2 linked regions of the Lepisosteus oculatus genome follow. The protein of the gene in region 2 interacts with the protein of the main gene of each other region in a biochemical or structural test. Links are inferred from orthologs where the notes say so. Each region holds a gene or a part of one and is shown on either strand. Other genes may lie near its edges.

What was found. The genes of interacting proteins can lie anywhere in the genome.
Region 1: the proteins of xiap (region 2) and septin-5-like form a complex in vitro, tested with the Homo sapiens proteins (4 studies listed by BioGRID, with this or other methods). The link is inferred for Lepisosteus oculatus from reciprocal best matches to the Homo sapiens genes XIAP and SEPTIN4.

Annotation. Positions count from the first base shown.
Region 1 is NC_090721.1:6,134,448-6,138,203, forward strand, and holds the start of septin-5-like, read left to right. Parts: upstream 1-837; 5' UTR 838-2,507; coding exon 2,508-2,675; intron 2,676-3,756. UniProt on the Homo sapiens protein: Filament-forming cytoskeletal GTPase. Pro-apoptotic protein involved in LGR5-positive intestinal stem cell and Paneth cell expansion in the intestines, via its interaction with XIAP. May also play a role in the regulation of cell fate in the intestine.
Region 2 is NC_090703.1:41,706,437-41,710,192, reverse strand, and holds the start of xiap (E3 ubiquitin-protein ligase XIAP), read right to left. Parts: upstream 2,910-3,756; 5' UTR 2,612-2,909; intron 1-2,611.

The sequences.
Region 1 (3,756 bases), on a different chromosome or scaffold from region 2:
ATTCTGTCCTTGTTAAAGCTCTGATTAATCAGAACCATTGACAGAATATTGCTGCCGGCGCCATCTGTCAGCTGTCAACAGCTGCGTTTCCACGAGCTTTCAACTATTGACTAACCTCAAATCTATAAACCCGGGTGATGGTGGGGGTTTGCCGTCTAATCACCAGTTGTGTTAACACCAGTCTTAACTGATTACAGAAGAAGCACAGCCACAAGGTTTGTTCCCATTAGTTACATATAGTTAGAAATTTCATACTAACTGCATGTTTTGCACTGATGCACTTGTGTATTTTCATCCTCTTCATTGAATTTTCTTCTCTATATTCCTTCACACAGTTTTCCAAAAGACCTTTTTTAATGGTTTGCTCTAACTATTGAATTATCATGAATATTTAGGGTGCTGAAAACCTGTTTTCAGAGAATAGGATCAACCCATCCAAAAATTGGTCCCCCAGGTACTTCCTCCGCACTAATCTAGAGAGAGCAAGTGTGTTCAGCCCAGGGAGAGCTATAGAACAGAGCAAAGAAGAGCACTGAGGTGGATTTTCAGAATAGAGGAGGTACTGTAGGAGGGGACACTGCGTGTCAAAATGTGGCATGAAAAATTGTAGTGCAAAATGATAATTGGATCGTTTCCTTACAAACGTTTTTTTTGGAGATGATAATACCTGTTGTACGTGCATAATTCCATAAACGCAATACTGATGTTGGCATTCCATTGCTAATGGATTGGTAAAACGTGATTAATGTATTATTTTGAGAAGCAAAAGACTATTAACCATGAACTGAAGATCTGGATTACACAGTTTCTGTTTAGTTTTTTTTAGAAAATAGAGAAATGGAGTGATCTTACAGATCTTTGTGAAATTGTGAGTTATGTTTAATTTCTTGATCAGAAGATACCAGGGTGCCCTAAAATCAGATGGCATCAAGACGATGTCAGTCACTGCTGGGGTTAAAGTTGCCCGAATAATCCCTGGCGTTTTGTGAATTCAGAGTGCTGTGTGCAAGGAATGTCAAGTAGTTCTGCCTGATGGTCTAGTCTGCTGGCACTGGAACAAGGCTGCCTTACTCCACACGTTAACCACAGTGAGCCTTCTTGTGTGTTTTGGTTCTTTTTACTCGTGTTTTATGCTTAATCTGGTATTGCATTTACTTAATTTGTCCTCTTTTTGTCATCGTCAGAAGAAGAAAATAACATTTTATTGCTGGGACGATGGGTGATTTTTAAATCCTCGATCTTGTGTTCCTTGATCTTTAACTTAAATCCTCTTTAGACGCTGGAGCTGGGTTTCCCTCTCTTCTAAGACTTTAATTCTGAAGATAATCGTGCACTCTGGTGCTTTAGGAGAACCATGGCAATTTCACTGAGTTAAGTGAGCTAGATTCTTACAAAAGCTGGCTTTGTCTAATCTCGGAAAATATAAGACATTGAGACATTATAGGAGGATCCTTTAAAAATGTGGAATTGATAGCAAATGGAACTGATAACATACTAGTGTTGCACTATAGCCAGGTAGATATAAAAGCTTGTGTGCAAAATTCAAATGTAACATTAGGGCCGCCAGGAGGTCACCGGTGATTCTCCCATCCATAAGGCACCGTCTTCCACATCTCTCACTGTGAGAGAAAATATTTTCAAAATAATCATACCGAAAACGAGCATGATTATTCAGAATGCACTTACTACACTTGGGGCATCCTTCTGAAATGTAATTACCTGACGCATTCTGGCTGTGGCTATGATTACTGTGGATATACCGTGTCATGAAATAAAAGGCTTTAAGCGACTGGGTGACCTATTTAGGGCTCTAGACTCCTCACCTGGTGCAGACCACTATAGTTACATGACTTGTTACCTGCTCTGTGGATGGAAGGAAGATTTATGGTCAGTCTTGTATGTTTACTGTAGGTGATTATAAGACCTATATTATCTGTAACACCTATTCAAAATCCAAGTATTCAAGTATTCTCAAACGTCATTTAAATTATACGCGATGACACTACTATTCACACTTGCTTGTAAATAGCTTGCTTTGAACATAAACCTGGATGTCAGAAACCAGCTTTTGTTTTTGAAATAGTGCCATTACTGCCGGTGAAGAGTAGTGGTTGGGTTTCTGAACTTTGGACTAGAAAGCTGGTATAAATGAGTGTTGGAGACTGGTGCTGTTCCTGTGAGTGACCTGCTCAAACAGATTGCTACAGCAAACCAAGTTGTGGAAATGGCCAAATAAGTATATAAAAAGCAAAATATATTTACTTAACTTTTTTAAGCTACTTTGGATAAATTAAGGTCTCCCGTGTGTTTTTTTTCCCTTGGACCAGCTTGGCATGTTAGTATCCTGTGGGTTATCAGTCTTTATAGTTGGAGGAGTTTAGGAGTGACGCTCGGATCATAAAGGGTGGCTCGCTCATAATACAGCCCTGCCTGTGGGTTTGTTGGTGAGGGTATCCGGTGTGGAGTTCAGAGATCCCTTTTGAAGTGTGTGATGAGGGCCTGGGGGAATGACAGTGTTTAATGGCTGTGAAGGACATGGTGCCCTCACACGAGGGTATAAAGGCTTTGTCTGCACGAGAGGCCAGCTTGTCTCTCTCGGGTTGGGATGGAGAACTGGGCCAAAGCGAGGAGGAAGACCGCAGTACTTCGCATCATCTCTGACACCCATCCTGCAGGTGAGGCTTTTCCACAGGGGGCTCGAGGGGTGTGAGGTGGGTTCTTCTGCCACATCATGACTGTGCCTCCACTTTTCATAGAAGAGTGGGGTGGTGGTGGGGGGGAGATATAAAAATGGGAAATATATCTTTTTTTTTTCTTTGCTTAGTCACTGCAGGCTGAGACTTGTGTTGTGGAGTACCGTGGCCTGTCGTAATAATCACGACGTGAGAGTTTTCCAGTGTTTCAACTCGGAGTAAAGCTTAACAAAGCTTAAAAGTATGTAGCAACAGTGCTAGGTGTCCTTTCACACAGGAAACACAGGAACAAGACAGACATCACTGTAGTGCCAAAGACAGCCCCGCTTTTGAGCTCACTAGGTAACAAATCCCTGTTTCCAAGACATGTGTTGGGTAGAGTGGCTCCTATGCAACATTCCCTTCACCAGTCAACACCTACTGTAGGTCCGCATGTCACAAGTCTTTAAAATCCTTAGGGGGGACAGCTGACGGCACTAAGGTGGTGTACCTGCCTGTGGATTCCACTGCAAAGCTGGGAGCTGTTCGGAAATGAAAGAGCGCAGGGGCTTGTCAGTAGTGAGAGTAAACCATCTGGACTAGAGTTCTCAGCGACATCAGGGTTGAACAAATCCCACACAGTTCTCTGTGGGCTGCTGCATGTATGTGTGTATTTTTCTTCCTGTCACCTGAGCCCCACAACAAGGAAACTGTACAAGGACAAATAAAGCAAGTGGAACCATCCTGTAAGACATTAGTGTTTAGTCTCCAAGAAATAGATTTACAATTTTCAAAGGATACAGGAAGGTTTATTTTCCTCTGAATAATTTGTTGGATCTATTTTTTCTGGCCTCCAAAGAAATACAAGCTAATTTGTCACTTTCTTTTACAAAGAAATATAGATTGACACGAGTGGTATAAACGGGAGGCTTGAGTCCCTGAATTTATTTGTGAAAAGGGAAGCACAATTCAAAGCTCTCTGATATTCAGGAGAAAAATCAATACCACGCCAGGTGATTAGAAAGCAACTGAAGTTCAGACTCCCTGCTGCTCTTGTTGAGATTTAATGAGATGGAAAAATGTA
Region 2 (3,756 bases):
AAGTTCCCATAAAAAGGTATTTGTATGGGCAGTATAAAGGTGCATTGAAGAGAACAACATCTTGTTTCCCTGAGATCAGTCCTATATCCATTTTAAAGTAAACTATTTTTATTCACTGACTATAGCATGAATTAGTTTTTTTTAAAGTACTCCTCTCAAATCAATTTAGGTCTATCCATGCAGTCGTACTATAAATTGCTGTAACTGCAGTTATAGTTTATCCTGCTTAAGTATATACAGTAATCATCAAACTGCCACCTTCATTAGTTTTTGAAGTGTGCCACTTTACATTTTGCTCTCTACTCCATTAACTGTCTTCTAAATTCCCCAAACTCTGTAGGATCTGGACTGTAACATTTTGAAAGTCAGCTGTATTATTTAACATTCTCATGCAAAAGACACACTCAAAGAACATGCAGGTCAGGCACAATGAAAAATCTTCATGCTGTAATGCTGTAAGGAAACTATGGATGCTTAACCACATGACAAGAATGAAATAGGTAGCAACAGGGGTAAAGCAAATTGCTTAAGTTAAATTGGACATTTCACTCTGAGTACTAGAGGGATTCTACTACTCACATCTCAAACTAGCTTTGTAGATTTTGTTGTTCACAGAGTTTTGAAAATTGTTCAAAATATTATCATAGTCATTTATGAAATACATTCTTGACTACACTAAAATACATACACAAACAGCAATTTCAACGAGGTAGGTGTTGTGAGTGGGCACTGCATTTTATGAAGACTAGGGAATTCTGGTGTAAGAGACTTAGATGAGAAATGATGTGTACCTAAGATTTAAACAAGGGTACTGAACCTAGCTGCTAGATTTGTTAGTAACCAGCCGATAGTACATTGTTCATCAAAGCAAATCATGAATAGTGTAAGGGACACAAAGTACAGCCCAGGAATGCGGCACTCCCTTACAGTCTCTTAACACACCTGGCAACCTAAGATCTAAACTAATAAATTACTGGATAAAATAATCCTTACTCTCGCTTTAACATGTAGATTATTGTTAGAATTTAATAAGAACTTAAACGTGTCCAAGCATACAAATCAATATTGTGTAGTTGCATGAGCACTAGGTTAATTGTTTAGCAACAACATACCCCGATCAATCACAGCCCTTGTTCCCACACTTTGAACCTGTAACACGTGTCCTTTTCAAAAAACAAACAAACATTTGATCCTTCTAAAAACAAGTTTCACACTGCAAAATGTCACACAAACCAAATTCATAATAAGTGACACAAAATGAAACCTATTTTGAAAAGGAGCAACATAATTTTAACTAATCTGGTATCTTCCAATAAGATTAACTTAAAACTGTAATAAAACTAAAAACATTGGTAGAGGTCTTACAGACTCTAACCTATTATTACAGACCTATAATAAACTCACACACTGGTCATTTTTAATTTACTGTAAGCAAAGTTAGATACAGCCAATACCAGAGCCATAACAGCTCAACTACTTAACCTATAAAACTCTCCAAATTTTGTAGAGGGCAGACTTTTCTTAAAATAATGTTATGTATATCTATTGTTCCTACAAAGAGACAACACTACATAAAATTGCATTTAGATAAACATGCCTCAGTTAAAACTCCTGTTGTTCTTCAGTTTAGTGTTTAGGGGCTCTGGATTTTTAACTGGAAGATGGCAAGTTAAAATCCCATCACAGTTGTACCATTGAGCAAGGTATTCAAAATAATGAATTGGCACTTCCAGACAGTAAATAAGAAAAAGGTCTGTCTATTGATTTACCTGGTTAAATATTCAATAGCATTTTAAGACCCTAATGCTAAGAACCCTGATGTCTCTGTTGTTAAAGACATAACACCAATAACCTATTAATAAAACATCTTGTGCTATTGCAGAATTTTCTTTAATATTTTAAATGAAAACCCAACTAGATCTTAAATGTCCAACGGCACCATGCGCTTGAAAGTGTTGAAAGCTGGATTACCGACACCGCCAAATTCAATACACTGTAAGTACACCAAAAGCCAAAGTATACACTTCAGCTTCTAGTATTAATATTGTTCTCGTATTTACATTAAAGTAACCCTTAATGTTTCTCATCTGTAGGTAAAGTAATCTCACCTTTCATACATGAGAAATTCGTATGCAGTCTGTTTCGTAAGCGGTAAGCAAGCTAAATCTATATTTAAAACGCAGGAAACATTCTTGCTCATTATAGGGAAAATATCTAGAATTAAGTTACTGCTATAAAAGTAAGATATTCAATTTGACAGTGTTATTCTTATCATGTTTAACTAGTGGCTGAAACTAACATGTTACCGAAAGTACCAGGGATCCCTTCATGGTTTCGAAACACTAACTGAAAGTGTCCAAGTCCATGACATCTCCGACGACCGCAAAATCTTTATAAATTTCTATGCTATATTTCAGTAAAATGCGCATTCTCATTTCGCTGTATATTTCCGAACGTATTCCTGGTACTATCCGGATTGTAATGCAAAGGAACAAGGTGATGTACTTTAAACAATTATGTCCTATCTGGCACCGTTTCCCTAAATAAGGCATTTAAATACTGTAAATTTTCATGTTCTCAATAAACATAATTGCTACACGTTGGTACTTACCTGTCACAGTGTGTGTCCCCTTTCGCGTCCTTAGTTTGATTCCTCTCCGGGTACCTTCTCTTTTTTCGCTTGCTTTCCGTACAATTTATGTTAAAGAGCCGGAAGTTACGCATGTGACATCAAGCGCTTTCAGGAACAGTGGGTAGCATGGGGGTTTTCAAACCTTTTTGATTGGAGTGCCCCTTGCAGAAATTCCCTCAATAGTAGTCATAAATTATAGGCAAATGTCTGTCATTATTGTATCTCTAGTATTAAATATCAATTACTAAAAGCAAAACGGTACAGCTGTATCATAAGCGCTACCAGTGTAGACGTATCACGAAGGTCTGTATTTTCCCTCTTCAGGGCGAGTAAGAAAGAGTGTTCTCGTTCTCTCTTCATACTGTGAACAGGAAGTTATCCGTAACTTAAAAAAAAGGAACAAGCTACGTTTTAATAAAAGATGAAATATTAAATTAAGCTTTAACAAACGCCTGCCACATTCCTAGATAAATGCACACGACCAGTGTTATTCTACATCGAAACGGCTGTTTAGTTTTTATAGTTCTAGTAGCTATATCATCGTGCAACTGACAGCCCACTGAAGCTAAGCACATGGAGCCTGGTCAGTACCTGGATAAGAGACCTCCTGGGAAGGCTATGGTTGCTGGTGGGAGAGGTTTTAGTGGGACCAGTAGGGGGTGCTCACCGGGTCTTTGTGGGTGCTAAAGCCACAGTATGGCACAGTATCTCTGCTGTTCTTTAGAGGAGGCGTTAAAACGAGGCCGTGATTCCCTGTGATCGTTAAAAACTTCAGGGCCTTTCTCAGAAAAATTAGGAGTGTGACCGCCCTGGTGTCCCGGCCAAATTCCCCCCGGCCCTTGTCAAGTTCAAATTCAAGTTTATTTGTCACTCCAGCCATGTACAGGTATACAGTAACAATAATTGCTTACACTTATATAGCACTTTTCTGGACACTCCACTCAAAGCACTTTACAGGTAATGGGGACTCCCCTCCACCATTGTGCAGCATCCACCTGGATTATGCAACGGCAGCCATAGTGCACCAGAACGCTCACCACACATTAGCTATCAGTGGGGAGGAGAGCAGAGTAATGAAGCCATTACTTAGGAGGCCATGATTGGTAAGGGAAATTGGGAATTTT